6 linked regions of the Oryctolagus cuniculus genome follow. The protein of the gene in region 4 interacts with the protein of the main gene of each other region in a pairwise test. Links are inferred from orthologs where the notes say so. Each region holds a gene or a part of one and is shown on either strand. Other genes may lie near its edges. The genes, in order: NEBL, FAM107A, HMG20A, CCDC136, PSMD9 and TCEA2.

What was found.
Region 1: the proteins of CCDC136 (region 4) and NEBL interact in a two-hybrid assay, tested with the Homo sapiens proteins (2 studies listed by BioGRID and IntAct). The two-hybrid records come from large-scale screens. The link is inferred for Oryctolagus cuniculus from reciprocal best matches to the Homo sapiens genes CCDC136 and NEBL.
Region 2: the proteins of CCDC136 (region 4) and FAM107A interact in binary tests that used the Homo sapiens proteins (3 or more experiments, as listed by UniProt). The two-hybrid records come from large-scale screens. The link is inferred for Oryctolagus cuniculus from reciprocal best matches to the Homo sapiens genes CCDC136 and FAM107A.
Region 3: the proteins of CCDC136 (region 4) and HMG20A interact in binary tests that used the Homo sapiens proteins (3 or more experiments, as listed by UniProt). The two-hybrid records come from large-scale screens. The link is inferred for Oryctolagus cuniculus from reciprocal best matches to the Homo sapiens genes CCDC136 and HMG20A.
Region 5: the proteins of CCDC136 (region 4) and PSMD9 interact in binary tests that used the Homo sapiens proteins (3 or more experiments, as listed by UniProt). The two-hybrid records come from large-scale screens. The link is inferred for Oryctolagus cuniculus from reciprocal best matches to the Homo sapiens genes CCDC136 and PSMD9.
Region 6: the proteins of CCDC136 (region 4) and TCEA2 interact in binary tests that used the Homo sapiens proteins (3 or more experiments, as listed by UniProt). The two-hybrid records come from large-scale screens. The link is inferred for Oryctolagus cuniculus from reciprocal best matches to the Homo sapiens genes CCDC136 and TCEA2.

What each region holds. Positions count from the first base shown.
Region 1 is NC_091444.1:47,216,688-47,220,818, forward strand, and holds the start of NEBL (nebulette), read right to left. Parts: upstream 2,801-4,131; 5' UTR 1,875-2,800; coding exon 1,794-1,874; intron 1,707-1,793; coding exon 1,635-1,706; intron 1-1,634. UniProt on the Homo sapiens protein: Binds to actin and plays an important role in the assembly of the Z-disk. May functionally link sarcomeric actin to the desmin intermediate filaments in the heart muscle sarcomeres.
Region 2 is NC_091441.1:91,452,716-91,456,058, forward strand, and holds the end of FAM107A (actin-associated protein FAM107A), read left to right. Parts: intron 1-382; coding exon 383-539; intron 540-977; coding exon 978-1,085; 3' UTR 1,086-2,843; downstream 2,844-3,343. UniProt on the Homo sapiens protein: Stress-inducible actin-binding protein that plays a role in synaptic and cognitive functions by modulating actin filamentous (F-actin) dynamics. Mediates polymerization of globular actin to F-actin. Also binds to, stabilizes and bundles F-actin.
Region 3 is NC_091443.1:108,018,573-108,022,072, reverse strand, and holds part of HMG20A (high mobility group protein 20A), read right to left. Parts: intron 3,341-3,500; coding exon 3,128-3,340; intron 1-3,127. UniProt on the Homo sapiens protein: Plays a role in neuronal differentiation as chromatin-associated protein. Acts as inhibitor of HMG20B. Overcomes the repressive effects of the neuronal silencer REST and induces the activation of neuronal-specific genes.
Region 4 is NC_091434.1:164,988,742-164,992,691, reverse strand, and holds the start of CCDC136 (coiled-coil domain-containing protein 136), read right to left. Parts: upstream 2,801-3,950; 5' UTR 2,725-2,800; coding exon 2,667-2,724; intron 2,030-2,666; coding exon 1,922-2,029; intron 279-1,921; coding exon 30-278; intron 1-29. UniProt on the Homo sapiens protein: May play a role in acrosome formation in spermatogenesis and in fertilization.
Region 5 is NC_091452.1:7,179,797-7,183,722, forward strand, and holds the start of PSMD9 (26S proteasome non-ATPase regulatory subunit 9), read right to left. Parts: upstream 2,801-3,926; 5' UTR 2,699-2,800; coding exon 2,561-2,698; intron 1-2,560. UniProt on the Homo sapiens protein: Acts as a chaperone during the assembly of the 26S proteasome, specifically of the base subcomplex of the PA700/19S regulatory complex (RC).
Region 6 is NC_091442.1:140,122-143,219, reverse strand, and holds the end of TCEA2 (transcription elongation factor A protein 2), read left to right. Parts: intron 1-342; coding exon 343-473; intron 474-625; coding exon 626-682; intron 683-1,376; coding exon 1,377-1,531; intron 1,532-1,599; coding exon 1,600-1,746; intron 1,747-2,119; coding exon 2,120-2,203; intron 2,204-2,431; coding exon 2,432-2,440; 3' UTR 2,441-2,598; downstream 2,599-3,098. UniProt on the Homo sapiens protein: Necessary for efficient RNA polymerase II transcription elongation past template-encoded arresting sites.

The sequences.
Region 1 (4,131 bases), on a different chromosome or scaffold from region 4:
CAGATATTGTTATTCTTGTCATTTCACTAGCATCACTGTAGTATACAAAGAACATCCGTGTACAGTAGCATATGACTATTACTAACAGCTTACGCCATTACTTTGTAGAAATACTCAATGCATATGCTAACCACAGCACTTGTCAAATATACGGGGAGGGTATGATGCCCACCACCATCCTTTGGCTCTTTCTGATAAACCAGAAAGCAGCACAGAGTTCTATATAAATGGTGACTGCATGGATGCAGATGTTACAGATGGAATACTTGATCACAGTGTTCTGGATAGTTTAGATAGCATCTAGTTGTGCTACCATTATTTAAGTTTATAATTAGGATGTTACACTTGAGGCTCTGGGCTCAGTCAGGTTATACAACCTTCCCACATTACCATGGAGTCCACTCAGGTAGGCTGACTTCAGAGAGCACACCGGCACGCTAGCCCACATCCCACCACTGTTTCCCATGAAAACAGGCAATTGTGAAATGTTCCAATCACCTTGCTCATTAACAACAGAAGTAACCTGTATGCACTCCTCTCCCTGAAGGAAGACACACGCACACATTTGCTTTCCAGGAGCCATCTTTGCTCTTTCAAGGCAGCCCTCACCACTAGGGAGCAACCTTCTTTCCTTGTACTTCTAGAATCCTAGTCTACACATTTACTGTAAGTGTGTACGTATACATATAGGCTAAATAATTCTATCCCAGTCACTGAAAAAAGTCCCCCCAAGGCTGGCACCGCGGCTCAACAGGCTAATCCTCCGCCTTGCGGCGCCGGCACACCGGGTTCTAGTCCTGGTCGGGGCGCCGGATCCTGTCCCGGTTGCCCCTCTTCCAGGCCAGCTCTCTGCTATGGCCAGGGAGTGCAGTGGAGGATGGCCCAAGTGCTTGGGCCCTGCACCCGCATGGGAGACCAGGAGAAGCACCTGGCTCCTGGCTTCGGATCAGCGCGATGCGCTGGCTGCAGCGGCCACTGGAGGGTGAACCAACGGCAAAGGAAGACCTTTCTCTCTGTCTCTTTCTCTCACTGTCCACTCTGCCTGTCAAAAAAAAAAAAAAAAAAAAGTCCCCCCAAAATGCTCCTTTCACTAACAGCACCAGCATTATTTGTATCAGAGTTCTTAACAATGCACGTCAGTAATCCAGAAATCCTAAATGCTACCCAAAAGCTATATGCATATAAGCAAACGCATTTTCCTCACTTGCAAAATGAATGCATTCATCAGATTAATCAAAAGGCCTCCAAAATGTTAAAATTATTCATTTAGCAGAGTTCCTCTCAAGACAAATTCCATCATGATAATAATTTCAGATTCCTTAGGTTCTCAAACAGAATATGCTCTACAATTGAATGCCTTAGGATTCCATGCCAGTCTGTCAGTAAAATTCCTAAGGGACAGAATTCCAGATGAAGAAGGAGAAGACCTGTTCCAGCAGAAATTCCCTGGATAGGTGACCTTGGAGAAAGCACTTACCGTTTTTGGACTTAATTCCACAATCTGAAAATCGTTGTGTTTTAAGAGCTAGTTTCAGGGTTGTCTCCCCCACTCAATGACACTCTCTCTATAATCGTGTATGGTGGGTAATATACCACACATGTAATGTCAAATAAAAGTTACTTAGGCCACTTACATCACTAATTAGTTCGGTGCATTTTTTAGCCAATTCCATGCTCAGGTCTTCAATAACAGGCTTAAAGAACACCTGTTCAAAAAAAGGAAAGAGAACATTTTTCTCACTACCAGTTTACAGGAACAAATATCAGGCTTGGGTAGCTGCTTTCTCACTCACCTTGTCTTCTTCATTTTCTTCTTCCCCTGTTTTTTCCTCTTCAGTTTCATCTTTTACATCCTCCACTAAAGGGACTTTCATTTTTACCCTTTCAAAACACCTGTATTTTAAAAATCTACGTGTGCAGTGTCTGCTGGGGCCCGCACAGCCCGGCTCTCTGGGTGCAGGAGGCGCTGTGGCAGGAATGACCTTGCCCAGTTCCCGCTCTATTTAGCTCGCACTTCACTCTCCTTATCTCAGTGGTGTGTGAGTGAGTGGACAGCATCCCAGAGGTCTGCAGGGCTAGCCCCACAAGTACAAACAACGTGTTCTTGGGCAGAATTCAATTTTATGAATTTTGAAAGTCAACATTCTTTAAACTGGTTAAGAAATTCTAAAGAGGAAATTTATTTATCTTTCACTGACTCAACTCATTCATAAGATAGTCTGAAATGGACTTAAAGATTCTTGGAAAACTACTTGGCTGTAACACTTAAGATAGCACAGTCAAATGCCTGTTATCACAAAGATTCCTCAACTCCATCTAAATAAAGCTGTAACTGGAATGTCAGACATAACTCTGATTGGTTACAGTGACTCTGGATCATTCAAACTCATTTCACTAACTTAAATTAAATGTTTTATAAGACATACACATATTTCTCTCATCTTAAAAACTACCCACTTTATATGAGCTGATTAAAGGCTAGTAATTTATTATGAAAAGCCTTTTGTACCACTTGAAAGAATCTATCCTGAATTAATTATGACTGTTAATCTTATATTGGTGAGTGTTATACTAATTGTAAACATTATTAAACATGAGAAGCAGCAATTAACATGCTGATGTATCATTTAAGAATCCAAAAACTCCCATATCTCAAAAAATAATCATCATCCTCTTTACATTCTACTCATCTTGTCAGTTTTTACAATTTTACTAGTTATTTGTATATTCTTCAATGCATCCTACATACTTGGAAAACTTTGGAAAAATAATCACAGTATATATATTGTGGCATGTGTCATAATTTATATAATTAAAGATCTATTTCTCAAAATCCTTTAATGTCAAGATTCTATACAACTTAAATTTATTAATTTGGTTACTAAAGTCCTAGGATACATTAACATCTACACAGCCACAGCATACCAATGTTGGACATAAAAAACACCCTATGGTGAATAATGGAGCTAATTATATAAAATACAACTTCATACAAAATAATACGTCATCTGAAGCAGTCAAAGATAATACTGTTTTCTTCTTAGATTATAGTTTTCAATTTATTTTTAGAAATGCATTTGGCCCTCCCTAAACTGAAAATTCTGTCAAGAGAAACATTCCTCACAAGCATGAAGTAGGAATGATTTCCCAGGCAGAATTCCATGGAGCCAAGGAACACTTAAGGTGGGGAGTGGGTTTCTTAAACAAACACATTTGGGACACCTTGGCACTAATCTCTCTCTGCCACTTGGAGAACCACATGGCACACTGACCCATGAGAAGTTCTGAGAAGACCCTCAACCAAAAACCCCATTTTTGTTTGCCTAACCAAATATTTCTAAAACATGAATTCTATCCATTTTATTACATCAAATGTATCTATCCATCTTTGTTTTTCAATGATAGCCACTGCCACAGAAAACTAACACATTTCTGTAAAATATTGCTTATTACTTAGGAAATATTTTGCTCTATTCTAACAAAATACATGGTGTGAAAGAGTGGCAGGTGTTGTCGTGAAAGAGTTTTTGATAACAGGCTAAATGAATAGCACCACATATTCTGCTTACCAGCAAATGACAAAAAGAAATTGCTCCAGCATGTTGAATATGGAAATCTTAACTTTAAGATAACAGCTCTGCACAGCCACAATAGCAGATACAAGGAAATTATTTATATATATTATATTTCTATCATAAAAGGGGAGAATTGCGAACCCTGATTGTTTCCCTCAAGTTCTCTGCCCAAGATAATTCCAATACTTGATAGAAAACCTGTGATACCACTTTTGTAAACAGAAAGCAGAAATTTCTAGAAACTTTTCTTATCAACCTCTCGAAGTATAGGGGAAAACCTCGACAAAACTGTCTAAGACATACCTCTTGGTTTGTATGTGAAGTGACAATTCTTGGGTTACTCATGGCCACATCTATTCCCCATGGCGAATCACCTTCATCAGGCATGAAGGGCAGCTGTTTTCTTATTTTCCATCACGTAGCATGCTTTTATTGACTCTTCACTGCACTGGAGAAAATTATCTGTTGAGATTTAACGTGCCAAAGTTTTGAAAGAGAAACTAAACACAATGTACAATGTGAACAAAAATTTTCCACTGTGATTTGAGAATCAGAA
Region 2 (3,343 bases), on a different chromosome or scaffold from region 4:
GCTTAAGCACTTGAGTCCCTGCCACCCACCTAAGAGGCAGGGTCCAAGTTGCAGCCAGCCGAGACCCAGTCCTGGCATGGCAGACAAGTGGGGAGTGAATCGGCAGAGGGAAACTCACTCTCTGTGCCTATCACATAAAACCTGGTCTCTGCAGTCAGACAGGCCCGGGTTCAGATCCTCACCCAGGCCCCTTATGGCTGTGGCTCGGAGGAGTGTCCTCAGCTGACCAGCCCCTGTTCCCTTCTCTGTAAAATGGGACAGTAAAGCTTCCACTCCGGGGGCTGCCAGGAGGATGGCATGGCGTCACTCCAAGGTGAAGCCCTGAGCCTGGGGGAGGTGGGAGGGCAGGGGTCTCCTGACGGCCCCCACCCCACCCCCGCAGGGGCCTGGGCGTGGACAGCAAGCCCGAGCTGCAGCGCGTGCTGGAGCACCGGCGGCGGAACCAGCTCATCAAGAAGAAGAAGGAGGAACAGGAGGCCAAGCGGCTGCAGTGCCCCTTCGAGCAGGAGCTGCTGAGACGGCAGCAGAGGCTGAACCAGGTGGGTGGAGAACCCAGCGCCGGCCCCAGCCTCTTCCAGGGCCGCCTCTGGGCCCAGAGAGGGCCTCTTCGTGTGGCCGCAGCTCGTCAGCAGGAGGAGCACTGGACCCGGAGTCCGCCAGCAGCCTGAGCCCTCGCTCTGCCACTCACGGCGCTGTGTGACTTGGAGGAATGGCTTCACCTCTCTGGACCTGAGCTTCGTCCTTGCCCCAGTGTGCCACAAGCCAGTTCTGATTTCACTCTCACATTGCCCTGTGAGCCAGGTGGCACTGCCACCTTGGGGGGGGGGGGACTGAGGCCCAGGTGCAGTCAGCGGTGCTCTGTCCACCCAGGCCCGTTCCGTCTCCCTCCCGAGGACACCCAGACCCCTCGGTTCTGAGACCAGGAATGAATTCTCGCAGCCCCATCCGCTTCACACCGCTGTGTCTCTCTCCTTCAGCTGGAAAAACCCCCGGAGCAGGAGGAAGAGCACGCGCCGGAGTTTATGAAAGTCAGGGAAAACCTGCGGAGGATCGCCACGCTGCCCAGCGAAGAGCGAGCCCTGTAGAGCGGCTGCAGCGCCCGGCAGCCCGGGCCCCCCACCCCGTGCCACGCACACCTGCTCCTGTAGAACAGCCTGGCCCTGGGAAGCTGGCGCCCCCTGAACGCCCAGCCGTTTCCTTCTGAGCACACTCCCCCCCTGCCCCAAAGGGAAGCCATTGCCAGGTGAACCCTCACCAAGGTGCCCCTCCCTGCACAACTGCACAGTGGGTATCGGAGCCCCTCTGGCTGTCAGGCCCGGAAGCAGCCCGGCTCCCTGGTCTCAGAGAACTCACCCACCTGTGGTTTCACCTGTGGCCAGGTGAGAGCAGCTAAGCAGAGCTCAGCTTCCAGGACACCCGCTTTGAAAGCCACCAAGGGCAGTGAGGGAAGGCACTGAGGCAGGGTGCAGCGCCCATGGTGGCAGCAAGCAAGGTAGACACTCACGAAGGGCACTGAGGGTTTGCCAACGCCCCCCACCCCCACCACACCCAAGCTTTGCTCTCCTCCTCTCCCCCGCCCAGTCCGGACCTTGTGAACACACCTAACGATGCGTTTCACACACCTGCTTGTGCGTAGGAGCCACAGGGGCTCATGTTCAGTTACGGCGCCTGATCTGGCGGACGTGGGCCGGGGGCTCCCAGGAAAGGCCGAAGCTGGAGCACCCGGGGTGGACCCTGCCTTGGGGCTTCCCCACCCCACTCCACGGAAGACTGTGGCTCTCTGGCCCAGCGTCTGTGTCGCAGATGTAATGAGTGTTTTCCCCAGGGACAGACGTAATTGCCAATCTGTGTTTCTCACCTGTGCAACTGCACCAATATGCGACTCCAGCCAAAAGCAGCGAAGACTTCACCTTTTCCTCTCGCCTTTGGAGAGCGTGTGCTCCCACCCCCACCCAGCACCTCCAGAGAGAGCTGCCACCCACCACCCAGATGCCCTTTCTCACTCCTATCTGGGTGACCAGCCAGGGACCAAGGGTGGCGTCTCCTTCCTGTGAGCGGTGCCCGCAGAGGTGTAGATGTAGCCATTCTGTCTCTGTGTGTGCATGCTCATATTCACGTTCAACCGAGCTCAAAAAGCTCCTGAACCTGACGCGCTGAGGGTGCGGTGCCGCTGTGTAAACATCAGCCGGATGAGGTTTATGCCGAAGATGCACGATCCCTAAATAAAGGCCACCTGTGCCCCAGAAGTCCCCCTTGGGGGTCTGTGTGTTGTTCGGACGTGTGGAGAGAAGCCAGACTGGGCGTCCGGGAGGAAGCAGGCCATTCCCAGGGAACTCGTGGAATTCCAATGGATGGCCACCAGGGTGCTCCTTGGAGGCAGCATGTCATGGAGAGAAAGTCCCAGAGGTGGAAGGGACCTCAAGCCCCAGGGGAGCCATGGCAGACACCCAGTTCACTCCCCAGTGGGCAGTCCAACTCCATCTCCCTAGCTACTGCCTGCTAGACGCTGTAAATCCAGACTCTCACTATTCCACCTCTTTTGACACTGAAGGTGACCATGTGACCATGTATGGCCAATGAAACTGGAGAGGAAGTCCACAGGGGCTTCTGGGAAAACTCAGGCTTTTCGGATGAAAGAGCCATGGCTAACACCTCCCTCCCTTTCCCTTCCTCCTGCCTTGACTGAGGAAGTGACGCCTGGAGCCACAGCAGACATTTTACCACATGAGGAAAAAAAGCCAAGAGAATCGCAGACATCAACCCTATCGTCCTTGGACCAAGCCAGTGCCAGCAGCTATCCTCCAGAGGTCTTGTAAATAAAAATAAATCACTCTTTGTTGTAAGCCATCGTTGGTCAGTCTCTGTTAACTGTAACCAAAAGCATCCCTATGGACACAGAAGGCCAGACGTGTCTGCCCAGAATTACCTGGAAGATCACACTACAAATTCCGATATCTCGTTCTCATCAGAAACCTATTGGGTTGGAATTGCCCGGCTGTAGGACAGAGGTCTGTCTTTCTACACCTTCTCCTTCTGGCCTGACACAGGCACTTGGGCCTGACTAATGCACACATCATTCAACAAGCACTTGGAGAGTGTTTGCTCTGAGAAGGAAGCCCGCTACATCCCAGGGCGTCACTTAGAACAGAGCCTGCCCACCACCTGGACCCTGCGTCGGTCACCCCCAGCTGGTCTCCCTGTGCTGCCCTTGCCCCAGAGCCCATACCCAGTGTGGCAGCCAAGGTGGTGCTGCAGATCCTGCCGCTCTGCACAGGGCCCTCCACTGGCTCCCAGCGCAGCCCTTCCAGCATCTAGAAGGTCCTACGTTCCCAGCTCCCTAACT
Region 3 (3,500 bases), on a different chromosome or scaffold from region 4:
TCCAAAAACAGACTACTCCGAGAAAGCCTCTATCTACATGCTCTGTTGCTGTGTGCTATTAATTATTTAAACAAGGTTCATCGGTCTACCAGGATTATTCTGTTTAATGTCTTCAGCTGTGCAGTCATCAAACTATGTATAAGAAAATATGAACGTACTGCTTCTGAATGAACACAAACCAGAATTAGAAATTCTGTTGACAATTCTGTGCCACATATGAGCCAGACACAGAGGAGAGTGAACCAGTCAAATCTGGGATCACTTAAGCAATGAAATCATTATGTACAATAAGTCAGACAACATTGGGGAAAAAAGGATTCATAGCAATAATAACTATTTGTTTTCATACCAATAATAGACAACAAATAAAAGCCTTCCTCAGAGGAGGAAGGCTCTTACTTAGTTGCTTATTACAGTTAATTTAAGAGAGAAATTTTTTTTAAAGACTTATTTATTTATTGAAAGGCAGAGGTACAGAGAGAGAAGGAGAGACAGAGATCTTCCATCTGCTAGTTCACACCACAAAACAGCCACAACAGCTGGGGCTGGGCCAGGCTGAAGCCAAGAGGCAGTGGCCTCATCTGGGTCTCCCATGTGGGTAGCAGAGGCCCAAGTACTTGGGCCATCCTCTGCTGCTTTTCCCAGGCCATTAGCAGGGAGCTGGATCGGAAGTGGAGCAGCCGGGACGCAAACTGGTGCCCACATGGGATGCCAGCATCACAGGCAGTGGCTTTACCAGCTGTGCCACAGTGCCGGCTCCATAAGAGACTATTTCTAATACACTGAAATAATCAGGGGTAAAGGGTCATGATTATATGTCACTTACCCTCAAGTGATTCAGAAAAAACCGCATGTGTGCATGTGAGAGAGAGATTGGGTGTGTACAAGTATGAGTGCAATGAAATGGAGAAATGGGATGAAATGTGTCAACAGGCAAATCTGTCTGTCACTTTCAATCTGAGTAAAGCATGGGCGGATATTCTCTGTATTATTTTTGTTTGTAACTTGAACATTTAAAACTATTTGCAAAGAAAAAGTGAAAAGAGCAAAAACACAAAACTCTCTCCCCACATAACTAACAGTGGTCATCCCTGGAGAAAACTGTCACTTTTGCTTTTTCATGTAGGCATTTCTGTACTGTCTGAACAAAGTTAAACAATGGATATGCATTAATTTTGAATGAAACAAAGAGAAAATCATAATCTAGCTAGGATGTCCCTGTTCCTGACCCCTTTATACAGTAAAGCCAAAACAACGCATGATACATATTCTTTATATTAGCTTATTACCACAAACAGCGATGTGATCTAACCTCTTACAAGTGTTTGACTTCAATTAATTACCCAGAGAGCATTTTCCAATTTGGTTTTGGCCTGTCTGACATTCTTTATAAACAGGGTAAGTCAGGGCTGGCGCTGTGGTGTAGTGGGTTGGGCCTTTGCCTGTGGCGCTGGCATCTGTGTGTAAGCACTGGTCCCAGCTGCTCCTCTTCTGATCCAGCTCTCTGCTATGGCCTGGGAAGATGGTGGAGGACGGCGCAACTGTTTGGGCCCCTGCACCTGCGTGGGAGACCCGGAGGAGGCTCCTGGCTCCGGCTACAATGGCTGTTTGGGGGTTAGCCAGAGCATTGAGGGCCTTTCTCTCTCTCTGTGACTCTGCCTCTCAAATAAGTAAATAAAATAAAAAAAAAAGAGGGTTAAGTCACAGATCTATGAGTCTAAGACATAAAAGAATAAGGACATCTTTCAGACGCTGAGGCTGGTGGGAACTTTCAGCCTCACTCTGCTTCAGTGGGATCTCACCCAGCGCAAGGCTACCTTGTCCTTAATTCCCCTCAAATCTCTTCAACAAATGGATTTGTTTCAGTTTGGCAACAGGGCTAGTCTCTGTCTTAGATGAGAAAGAATTCAAGTAGTTCTTGCTTTATTTTCCATAGTATGTAAAATCTGCCAGAACTCTAGCTAAAAAAAAATTCTTAAAGCAGTACAATCCTTTTCAGAAACAAAAATATTTTTTTATAAAAAAAGATTTATTGATTTGAAAGGCGCAACATCAGAGACAGAGGGAGAGATGCAGGGAGAGAGAGAGGGAGACAGGGAAAGAGAGAGACATTCCATTTGTTGGTGAGCTCCAAATATAGGAAAAAAAAAAAAAAGGAAAAAAAAAAAAAAAAAAAAAAAAAAAAAGCCAGCACTGAGCCAGGCCGCAGCTGGAAGCCAGAAGCCTAAAACTCCATCTGGGATTCTTACACAGGTGGCAGGGGCTCAAGTACGTGGGCCATCAATACCAGGTGCATTAGCAGGAAGCTGGGTCAGAAGCCAAGCAGCCAGGACTTGCACAGTGCTCTGATATGGGTGCTGGCATTACAAGTAGCCACTTCACCTGCTGTGCCACAACGCTGGCTGGCCCATAAACAAAATTCTGACGTGAACTGTAGCATCTTATCAAATGAACTTCTTCCCATTTAATTCACAATTTTTGTTTAACTCAGTGGAATAAATCCTGTTGACTGATTTCTTAATTTCTTAATATTGAACAACTTTGCAAAACAGTCTGATGTGAACTCTTAGCACAGAAATCAAACACTCATGGAAGTGGAGCTGCTGTATTTGAGGGGAGTCCTACCTCCTGCTCACATCCCTGCAGCAAACCGTGATGAAGTTTAAGAACCACTGTTAGAGAAAAGAGCTATGAAGGATCCTATTATTTTAGTCTCCTAGGCTCTGCAACAAAATCAGAGAAGCAACCATCCATCCTCTTTGCTTTTATTTGTTTGTTTGTTTTTTTGAGAGACAAAGAGGGAGCGAGATGGAGAAAGCGCACATGAGCGAGTTCTCACATCCAATGGTTCACTTCTCAAATGATGCCAGGAATGCAATCAGGTCTCTCCCATGGGTGGCAGGAGCCCAGTTACTTGGCCATCACCACTGCCTCCCAGGGTCCACATCAGCAGGAAGCTGGAGGTAGGAGGTGGAGGTGAAGTGGGTATTGAACCCTGGCACTCTGATGGGGGATGCAGGCCTCATAACTGCAAGACAAACCACTCATCGCTCCTCTTTGCTTTTCTGACACAGCTATTTTGAGACAGAATCAATACCAAGCAAAGGACGAGGAGAAGAGCCATTACCTGCTTTTCCTCAGGAGGCAGTTTGCTCCATTCGTTGCCTAACATCCTCGTGATTTCCGGAAACGGGACTTCCGGTCTCTTTGCTCGAAGCTGCTCTCGCCGTTCATTCATGAACCGAACATATCCTGTAAGGGGGGATTTGGGTGCATTGCTGTCTCGAAGAGGTTTCTTCCGCTTTCTTCCTTTGGACCAACCTCCTCGTTTACTTCTTTGCTACAAAACAAAGCACAGTAAAAAAAACAAACAATGACAATCCCCACACATATCTCAACAACAATAAACACCAACACAGAGAATAGGAAGTTTCATTTTCCGATGAATAAGGCCCTAGACATGCAGAGTGCTCCACATCTGTCCCGGGTATGCGTGTCTG
Region 4 (3,950 bases):
AGGCCCCCCGGCCCGCGGCAGGCGCTCACCCTGCAGCTCCAGGGAGTCGTCCTCATGCTGCCCGACCAGCTCCCGCGTCTCCTCCAGCTCGGCCACCAGCTGCAGCACCTGGGCTCTCAGCTCGTCCAGCTCAGTCTCGGTGAGGCTCAGGCCCCGGTGCTTGCTCAGGGACAAGGAGCCTCCGCTGCCAGCCTTCTGCATGTGCTCAGCTTCTTCTTCTTCCACCTCCTCCTCCTCCTCCTCTTCCTCCTCATAGAGAGCTGGCAGTAACACCTCTCCTGGGAGAGACGCCCAGCCCAGAAGAGAGTCAGTGCCAGCCTCCTGTGCGTGGCCCTTCCAGAGGGCAGAGCGGCGTAACAGTGCCGCCCGGTGTGCCCAGGAGTCCCCTGGATGCCTGATGAGCCCTAGGTGTTAGGGGCAGGTCAGGAGGCCACCTCGCCCTCCCCTCCCCCAGATCCTCCTGGCCCAACGGCACGCTTGGTGGCCTCTGCCTCCAACCTGTGGGCAAACAGTCTCCTGGCTCAGCCCGGGGAACCACACATGCACACCCAAGTCTTTTCTAGTGTGTTCTCTGGGGAGAGGGCTGAATGGTCAGGAGATTCGGACACCAGGCATGCCTTTAGGCCAATCAGGGCCAGAGTTACAGTTTGAGGATTTGTAGAAAGTTTTTTTTTTTTAAATTATTCAGGTGGCTTAGTGTAAAATTAGCCTTTCCATAATAAGCAAACATTGCCCGTCAGTAGGTAGAGAAAGAAAACATGTGAATGAAATGATTCTAAATTCACTGGACAAACGCGGGGGCCCTTTCAAACGCATTCTGTCAAACAGCTGTTTGGAATTTTCTGCAAGCTCCCCTTGCTTGGCCCTGCTGGGGCTGGCTGTCACGGGGCCTCCCCTCCCCACCTGAGCAGGGTGAGGCCCCTCCTCCCTTGGCCCTCCTGGCTGTCACAGGGCCTCCCCTCCCCACCTGAGCAGGGTGAGGCCCCTCTTCCCTTGATAACCCCTCTTGCCCCTGGAGTTTTCAGGGCAAGTCTTAGCTTGCACCTGTGTGTAAAAGTGAGCCTGCCACTGTAATGTGTTTCAAAGGAAAAAAATAATAATAATAATAATAGCAACAGGGGGGGGTTAGGTGCTGGTCCCCAGCCCCTGGTTGGCGAGCAGCCCCTCTTTCACTGCAATGCAGTTCCTGGAAATAGCAAAATCTTGTCTGAACGGTGATTGTCTGCTTTGTCTTCAAATGCAGAGGCTCTGCTCTTACTTCCTCTTAGCAGCAGCCTAAGGCTCAGCTGGGACCCCTGTGTCACCTGCCCCTCTTAAGGGGACCAGGGTGGCCCACACCGAATAGGCGGAGGGGCCTGGGGACTCCTCCCAGGGAGTCCCGGCACCTGGACCAGCCGTGTTCTTCCAGGGGCCCGGCGTTGGCTGCGGTGCCCAGTCACACGGGTGGGGTGGGCACCCACGTGCGTCGGAGGGGACGGCCTCACCTGCCCTTCCTGGCCTGGCTCTTCCAGGCGACCAGAGCCCGGAGGACCGCAGCTGCGAGACTTTGCTTTGAAGTGCATGGCGGTGCCCATGCCCTTGCCTTTTTTAAAAACCAGAGACAGCTTGGGATCTGGGTCGCAGGCGGGGAGAACGAACCCCCCACTGAAAGACTGCTTCAAAGCTCTGTCCACAGAGGCCTGGTTCTCTGTCTGGCAGCTCCCCAGGGGCACGCAACCTGGTTAGCTGTGCCATCGGGGCCCCAAAGGGATGCACCTTGAACTTTCCTCAGAGCGCCCTGGGGAGGACTGGAGTTCCCACCCAAAGGAGGAGGGGCCTGAGGGAAACAGAGGTCAGGGCTGTGGCACGGGCTCGGAGCTCTGGGGTCACAGGGAGGGAGGAGAAGGGACCGGAAAGAAAGATGCCCTTTTGGGAAACTCACCCTCCATAGCTTGCATCCCTCGCCGCTCCAGGGACCCCCAGCGCTGGCCCTTCTTCCTCTCACAGCCCTCGGACACCTCATAGGAGCCTAAAGTGGTTACTGTGGGTCCTGTGAGCAGGGAGACAGGAAGCCATGTGGGGGGCAGGGGAAGAGAGGGGACGGACGTGCCTTCCAGGCCGGTGGGGCCCTGGGATCTGCAATCCCAGCGGAGGCGCCTGCCAGCTCAGCTCTGCGACTCCCCTCCCTCAGCCTCCCCCGCGGGGACCCCAGCCCAGCTGGGGTCCTGGTCTAGGCAGAAGGAGGGCGGGCGTATGTTCAGAAGAGGGGACCGAGAGGAGAGGGGCTGGGACGCAAGGAAGAGCAGCAGCCAGGAAGGGGGAGCGGCCGTGCGACTGCAAAGCGGCGACAGAGGCGCACGAAGGGGTCTGGGCGGGGACGCCCCCTACCCGCCCCGCCCCGCCCCTCCCGTCACACCTCGCCGGGCGCCCAGGAGCCTTTAGGACTGGAGGGGCTGCAGCGGCTGGAGCCCCCGCGAGCTGGAGGGGCAAGAGGGGAGGGCCCCCGGGGAGGATGTGGCCGCTGTACCGGAAAGATGGAGACCGGGCCCGGGACGCGCGGGGACGGAGGGAGGAAGGCTGAGGGCGGAGGGGTGGGCAGCGGAGGAGCAGGGATGCCCGGGGTCTGCAGGCAGGCGCGCAGGAGCGGAGGCAGGAGGGGCGGTGAGGGGAGGGAGGACGGCTCTGACCTGGGCCCGGGCAGCTCCAGCCCGCGGCTCCCGCGCCGGCCCCGGCGCCCGCCTCCATGGCCGCTCCCGCCGCTGCCGCCGCCTCCCCGAGCCGAAGCCGCAGCCGCCGGGCCGGGACCCGAATGGGCGCGCGGGGAGGAGAGAGGGCGGACCGAGGGGCGGGGCCTGGCCAGGCCTCCCGCTGCTGCCGCCGCCGCCGCCTCCCGGAAGCCCTCCCTGCGCGCTCTCTGCGAAGGTGAGCGCGCCTCGGCACGCCTCGGGTCTTGCCCTCCGACACGAGCTGCCCCGACAAGGAGCGGCCACATCCATCTGCTGTGGTGGCAGGGACGCCTCTGCGGCCGGTGTCGGGGCCCGGTCCTGCCCAATGACTGCGGAGGAAGGGCAAGGTGCCCATCCCCGCAGCGCGGTGACCCCCTCCAAGCGCCTTCGTGGGGGAAGCCAGGCCGGGACATGAGCACTGCGGGGCCTGAGCCCTCCGTGTTCCCTGGACGCCCACCCAGCCACAGCCCCGGGCCCGAAGACCCCTTCACCGTCCCGCTCTGTCTCCCTCCGGCCCACACCCAGTGGCTGCAAACCACGCCCCCGCCGAAGTCTGCCATGGTCACTCCAGTGGAAGGGAGCAGTGGGGTCCCAAAGGGCTTCTTATTCAACCGTCCACGCATTCAGGGAGTGGCTGCGGGCGCTGGATTGCCGAGGCAGTTGTCACCTCTCAGAAACGTGGGAGATCCCTAAACCCGAGGCGCACAGACCCCTTCTCTTGCATATCCGCCGCCAGGTTGGGGGGGGCACCTAGAAGGGCTGTCTGCCTTCATTCACCCCTGCGCCTCCTCCTCCCGGATTCCCAGGCCCTACACGTGGAAGGCCTCATCTGCTCCCCAGGGGATGCCCTCTCTGGGCTCTGCGCCTCCCAGCATGGTGGTGGGGGGCGAGGATCCTGTGTGCCCAGCTTCTTGAAGGTTGGGAAGTATCTTAGACCTTGTGTCTCCAGCATCGGTCAGAGTACCTGAGGCACAGAAGGCGCGTGTACAAGTCAAGCACAGGTAATGCTGTCTTAGCAGTGAGCAGAGGGCGACATCCTGTGCAGTCCACGGTGCCCATTAGCAAGAACGTTGCCTGCAAGTCCCTTACTCCCCAGCCCCTCTCCTGTCCCCTTGGCTCGGTCCCCCCCCCCCCCCCCGCAGCCTGAGGCGCTGAGAAATGGTGAACACAGGTCGGGGGTGTTTCCTGCACTTGCTCCAGACCTTGCGGCCAGAAGAGCCCAGTGAGCGGGAAATAGCAGCTCTG
Region 5 (3,926 bases), on a different chromosome or scaffold from region 4:
TCGGCCCTGGCCATTGCAGCCATTTGGGGAGTGGACCAATGGATGGAAGCTCACTCGCTCTCTGCATCTCTCTCTTTCTCTAAATCTGACTTTCAAATAAATAAGTAAATCTTTTAAAAATAAAGAAAATATTTATTCCTGGGGCCAGCATTGGGTTAAGCCACCATGTGCAACACTGACATCCCATATGAGCACCAGTTCAAACCCCAGCTGTTCCACCTCTGATCCAGTACCCAAGTACTTGTGCCCGTGCCACCCATGGGGGAGACCTGGATGGAGTTCCAGCCCCAGCTGTTGTAGTCATTTGGAGAGTGAACCAGTGGATGGAAGGTCTCTCTCTCTCTCTCTGAAATTCTGCCTTTCAAATAAATAATAAATCCTTTTACAATTAAAATATTGATTCTCTTTCCAGTTCTCTTCAATATTCAGTCTTTACAATCCCAGATTACTTGCTGTCTCTGAGTTGTTCCAATTTTGAAAGTTTTTTCTTTTTTAAGATACATTTATTTTAAAGTCAGAGTTACAGTGAGAGGAGAGAGAGAGGAGAAAGATCTTCCATCTTTCTCCTGGGCCCTGATGGCCCCAATGATCAGTGGTGGGCCAGACTGAAGTGAGGAGCTTCTTCCGGGTCTCCCACGTGGGTGCAGGGCCCAAGCACGTAGGCCATCCTCCACTGCTTTCCCAGGCCACAGCAGCGAGCTGGATCGGAAGTGGAGCAGCCGGGACTGGAACTGGAGCTCTGACATGGCATGCTGGTGTCACAAGTGGTGGCTTAACCCACTGGGCCACAGCACAGATTCCCCGTTTTTGAAAGTTTCATTGAGATATTGTTCACTTATCATAAATTGCTCCATTGAGCAGTGAACAATTCAGGCCGGCGCCGCGGCTCACTAGGCTAATCCTCCACCTTGCGGCGCTGGCACACCGGGTTCTAGTCCCAGTCGGGGCGCCGGATTCTGTCCCGGTTGCCCCTCTTCCAGGCCAGCTCTCTGCTGTGGCCGGGAGTGCAGTGGAGGATGGCCCAAGTGCTTGGGCCCTGCACCCCATGGGAGACCAGGAGAAGCACCTGGCTCCTGCCATCGGATCAGCGCGGTGCGCCGGCCGCGGCGGCCATTGGAGGGTGAACCAACGGCAAAAGGAAGACCTTTCTCTCTGTCTCTCTCTCTCACTGTCCACTCTGCCTGTCCAAAACAAAACAAAACAAAACACTAGGCTAAAGTGAACAATTCAGTGGTTTTCAGAATATTCACAGACCCGTCCAACCCTCACCCTCAATTTTAGTACATCTTCATCACCCCCAAAAAGAAGCCTCATCAGCAATCACTCTCACTCCCTCCCCCCAGACCCCAGCAACTACTTTCTGTTCCTATGGATCTGCCCATCCGGGACATCTCACAGGGATCTGCCCATCCTGGACATCTCACACGGGTCTGCCCATCCCGGGCATCTCACAGGGATCTGCCCATCCCGGGCATCTCACAAGGATCTGCCCATCCTGGACATGTCACACGGGTCTGCCCATCCTGGACATCTCACACGGGTCAGCCCACCGTGGACATGTCACACGGGTCTGCCCACCGTGGACATGTCACAGGGATCTGCCCATCCTGGACATCTCACACGGGTCAGCCCACAGTGGACATGTCACACGGGTCTGCCCACCGTGGACATGTCACAGGGATCTGACCACCGTGGACATATCACACGGGTCTGCCCATCTGGGACATCTCACAGGGATCTGCCCACCGTGGACATCTCACACGGGTCTGTCCATCCCGGGCATCTCACACGGGTCTGCCCATCCTGGACATGTCACAGGGATCTGCCCACCGTGGACATGTCACAGGGATCTGCCCATCCTGGACATGTCACAAGGATCTGACCACCGTGGACATGTCACAGGGATCTGCCCATCCTGGACATGTCACACAGGTCTGACCACCGTGGACATCTCACAAGGATCTGCCCACCGTGGACATGTCACACGGGTCTGCCCATCATGGACATGTCACACAGGTCTGACCACTGTGGACATCTCACAGGGATCTGCCCATCCTGGACATGTCACACGGGTCTGCCCATCATGGACATGTCACACGGGTCTGCCCATCATGGACATGTCACAGGGATCTGCCCACCGTGGACATGTCACACGGGTCTGCCCACCGTGGACATGTCACAGGGATCTGTCCATCCAGGGCATCTCACACGGAGCCTGCAGTAGGAGCACCGCCTGAGGCCCCGCCCCCGGCACGCCCCGCACTCTAGCCACGCCCCCAGGCGTCCCGCATGCGCACTGGCGTTCCAGCGGCTCCCACGTCCACCAGGACCCCAGGCGGCGGTGATCGCCATCGGCTTCCTGGTCTCCAACGCGGGGAGCTCGGCGGCACCGAGCTGCCGGGCCAGCCCCGGGAGAGACGCCCGCGCCGCGCCCCTCGCAGGGGGCGGTCAGCCCGCGCCGCCGCCCAGGGAGGCCGTGGGAGAACCAGCCACGGCCGAGCGTCCCGGCAAGCCCTCGGGGCGCTCCCACGCCGCCCGGCAGCCCCGAGCCCTCACTCACGCCCTCCAGCACGTCGTAATTCGCCTTGATCTGCGCCTCAATCTCCTCCTTGCGCCGCATCAGCTCCTGGATGTCGCTGATAGTGTCGGCGCGGGCCTGCGAGGCGCCTCCGCTCGGCATCGCTTCCTTATCCGACATCGCGGCCCCCCACCCCGGGACCCTGGGCAGAGAGTGGCTACGGCTCCGCCCGCGGGCCAAAACACCTCAGCCGTCCGCGAGCGCGGGGCGACGCGAGGGGCGGGGTCGTTGGAAGCCACGCCCCCGCACGCACAAGCGCTACGGGGTGATGTCACCCTGGGTGACTTATTTTCATTACTCATTTGCTTAACAAATATTTATCGGGCACCTACCAAACGCATGTCCCAGATAAAGGGGCCACGGTGCTTGGATTCGGTTCCTCGCTTCTGCAAAAGCCTTGAAATGTACATAAATTCATATTTTTTTTAATCTCCTGTTTTACAAACTCTACAGTCCTGGGTTCGAATTCCAGTTTGTGCCCCTTACTGCAGCCCTCCCCTGGTTGTTTCAGCCATTTGGAGAGTGAACCAATGGATGGAAGATCTCTCCAACTCCACATGTAAAATATAAATTAAAAAAACTTTAAAAATAAAATTGGGGCCAGCTCTGTGGCATAGCAAGTAAAAATGCCGCATCCCATATGGGCACTGGTTCGAGTCCTGGCTGTTCCACTTCTGATCCAGCACTCTGCTTTGGCCTGGGAAAGCAGTAGGAAATGGCCCAAGTCCTTGGGTCCAAGCACATATGTGGGAGACCTGGAGGAAGCTCCTGGCTCCGGGCTTTGGACCGGCCCAGCTCCGACCATTGCAGCCATTTGGGGAGTGAACCAGTGGATGAAAAACCTCTTTCTCTCTCTGCCTCTGCTTCTCTGTAACTCTGCCTTTCAAATAATGAGTCTTTTTGAAAAGTATATAAAAACTATGGATAAATATACACAAAAAAATAGAGAATGGTGGTAGATTAACACCTCAAAGTTTTTTAAAAATAAAATAATAAAAATTAAGTTAAAAAGTTGCAAAATTGGAGCCAACATAGCAGTATAGCCAATGAAGCCACACCTGTGATGCTGGCATCCCAGTTCCAGTCCCAGCTGCTCCATTTCCCATCCAGCTCCCCGCAAATGCACATAGGAAAGCAGCAGAAGACAGTCCATGCTTGGGCCTCTGCCACCCACATGGAAGACCCAGATGAAGCTCCTGGGTTGTAGCGTTGGCCTGGCCCAGCCCTGGCTATTGTGGCCATCTGGGCAGTGAACCAAAGGAGGGAAGATTCATTCTCTCTCTCTCTCTCTCTCTCCCTCCCTCCCTCCCTTCTCTCTCTAACTCTGATTTTCAAATAAATAAATATT
Region 6 (3,098 bases), on a different chromosome or scaffold from region 4:
GGGTCTGTGGCGTGTGCTCCTCCGGAAGCCCCCTGCTCCCGCTGATTTCCACAGGGCTGTGCCCGCTGGGCCGGAGGATGCAGCCTGGGCAGCGGGCGGCCCCACTTTCTCTGTCAGAGGAAGCTGGCCTTGGATGACCCCTGCCTCGTTTTCCACTCAGGCAGCTCCTGATTGCCTAGGCTGCCCTCGCCTCAGACCTAAGCAGGGTGGGTGCCCTGAGAGGATGAGCTCTGACCTGGTGGGGACCACAGGACCCGCCCCCTGTGGCCAGCTGGGCAGACCCCACAGGAACGCCAAACTGGGTGGACAGGGTGGGGTCACGGGCAGCCCATCTCTCTGCAGCCGCAAGAGGCTGGAGCTGCCCAGGACGCCATCCACCCCAAGGATGACCACGTTCCCCCCGGTGCCTGTCACCTGCGATGCTGTGCGCACCAAGTGCCGCGAGATGCTGAGCGCCGCCCTGCAGACGGACGGTGCGTGTCCAGTGAGACAGCCCCGCTGCCCCAGCCCCCGCTCAACATCAGGCAGGGGGGGCCGTCTTGGGGGTCACCAGAGTACTGGCTCCAGGCCAGGGTGCTGTGCGGGCAGAGAACCAGTCGGGGTGCTGGTGGGGTCCTTCCCGCAGGCGACCACGTGGCCATCGGTGTGGACTGTGAGCGTCTGTCAGCCCAGATTGAGGAGTATATCCTTTGTGTGCAGCTGTGGGCCAAGGGGTCTGGCAGAGGCGGGACGCTGGGCCAGGCTCCCCATGGGGGCTCCACTGTCCAGCTGCTTAGTGCCCTTTCTGGGCAGTCACTGGCTTTTGTTGTTTAAGGATTTATTTATTTTAAAGTCAGAGTTATAGAGAGAAGGGGTGGGGTGGGGGGAGAGAGAGGTGGATCTTCCATCTGCTGGTTCCCTCCCCAGATGGCTACAACAGCCAGGGCTGGGTGAGGCCAAAGCCAGGAGTTTCACCTGGACCTCCCCTGTGGGTGCAGGGACCCAGGGACTTGGGCCATGAGCAGGGAGCTGGATAGGAAGTGGAGCAGCTGGGACATGAACTGGCACCCGTATGAGATGCCGGCGTTGCAGGCAGTAGCTTTACCCGCTATGCACCAGCCACTGACTTTTATCTGGGTGGTGGGGTAGCCTTACCCTCGGAGGGCCCTGCCTGCTGGAGGGGTCTGATTCTGGGCGCCCCCGTGGGCTGCCCAGGGCTGGTCAGCCCATCCCACCTGGCTGCCCTGGGTCCTCAGCAGAGCTGAGGTGCACCCTGAACTGGCCTGCAGGTGCCCCTGCCCACCTTCCCTGCGGCCTGCTCTGCCTGGCCCAGCAGCAGACCAGGTGGTGGGGCTGGGCAGGGCACCGCCTCCACGAGGGTCCTTAAGTGCCTGCACGCATCTTCCGGGACGTGGGCAGCACGGACATGAAGTACAAGAACCGCGTGCGCAGCCGCATCTCCAACCTCAAGGATGCCAAGAACCCCGACCTGCGGCGCAACGTGCTGTGTGGTGCCATCGCGCCCCAGCAAATCGCTGTGATGACCTCGGAGGTGAGCCCGTGGGGGGCTGGGGCCGCCCCTGCCAGACTGAGGGCTGAGCACTCGGCCCCTGCCCCCAGGAGATGGCCAGCGACGAGCTGAAGGAGATCCGCAAGGCCATGACCAAGGAGGCCATCCGGGAGCACCAGATGGCCCGCACGGGCGGCACGCCGACGGACCTGTTCACCTGTGGCAAGTGCAGGAAGAAGAACTGCACCTACACGCAGGTGAGCCCCCCGGCCTTGGCCTGGGGGTGCCTTTCCCCCCAGCCTCTGGGTCTCTGACGCCTTGAGGGGTGGTCCCCTTCACGGCCTCACGCTCCCAGTCCAGGATGCCTCCCACTGATGGAGGCAGAGACCGTGTGGCCCCCAAAGACATGAGGAGAGCGGGCAGAGGCCGAGGGTGAGCACAGCTTCTCCACGGGCTCTGGGGCCCGGCATTCACTGGGGTAACACCCCCGGGCCTCCACGAGCACTGGGACCCCTTCCTGCTGGGGTCCTACGACCACCTCCTCGCTTCCCCAGAAGCCCAGCTTTGGAAGGTTGGGGTTGCTGGGCAGCCCAGGGCCCAGGGGCCCAGGCCAGCTGTGGGCCCACCCAGCCCTCCATACAGGTGCAGACCCGCAGCTCTGACGAGCCAATGACCACCTTCGTCGTCTGCAACGAGTGTGGGAACCGCTGGAAGGTAGGTGGGTGGGGCCCAGCCCTGGGCCAGCCTGTCCAGCCCCCCTCCCCGTGTCAGCCCTGGCCCAGCCTGTCCTGCCCCCCCCCCCCCCCAGGGTCTCGAGTCAGCCCTGGGCCAGCCTGTCCAGCCCCCCTCCCCGTGTCAGCCCTGGCCCAGCCTGTCCTGCCCCCCCCCCCCCCAGGGTCTCCCCTGGGCTGACACCACTGAGGGGCTCCTTCTTCCTTGCAGTTCTGCTGAGCTTCTGCCTGTTGCTGCAACCTTGGCTGTGGCCAGTGCTGGCTCTCCTGGGCGTCTCTGGAGACCACAGGAGGCCACATGCCCTGCCCCACCCGCCTACCTGGAGTGCACCTTCCTGCCCCTCCATGTCCTTATTAAATGTCTCTTTGCTGTCCCTGGCTCCTGGTCCTCCTGGGTTGTGTCCAGGTTTCAGCTGGGCCTCTGGTGGCCAGGCAACCCTGTAGGAAACACTTGGGCAGCCCCCCAACATCCTCAGGGCCTTTGGTCCTGGGGTACAGGGCAGCACGACCAAGCTGCACCACTCTGCCCAGTGTGTGCCCCCCTTCCCCTCCAGGACGGCAGTCCCTGTGCTGCCTCCGTGCAAGGGTGGGGTCTCATGGCTCCAGGCCAGTTCCAGCCTCAAGTCACTTTAATGCCCCAGAAACAGGCGGGAGTGTGGTGGTGATGCTGACCTCCAGGCCCAGGGTACTGTGACTGTGACCCCTGCCTAGCACCCGGGTCACCCAGTGTTCTACCCCAGCCTCCAGGGCCAGCTTTTGTTACCTGCGAGGGATCTGTCCATCCCAGACCCAGGCAGAGCCACCCCGACGGCCCCTCCCAGCCTGGAGTCTGGGGCAGTTCCTCTCTAACCCTCCCCAGTGCAGACACAAACAGGAGC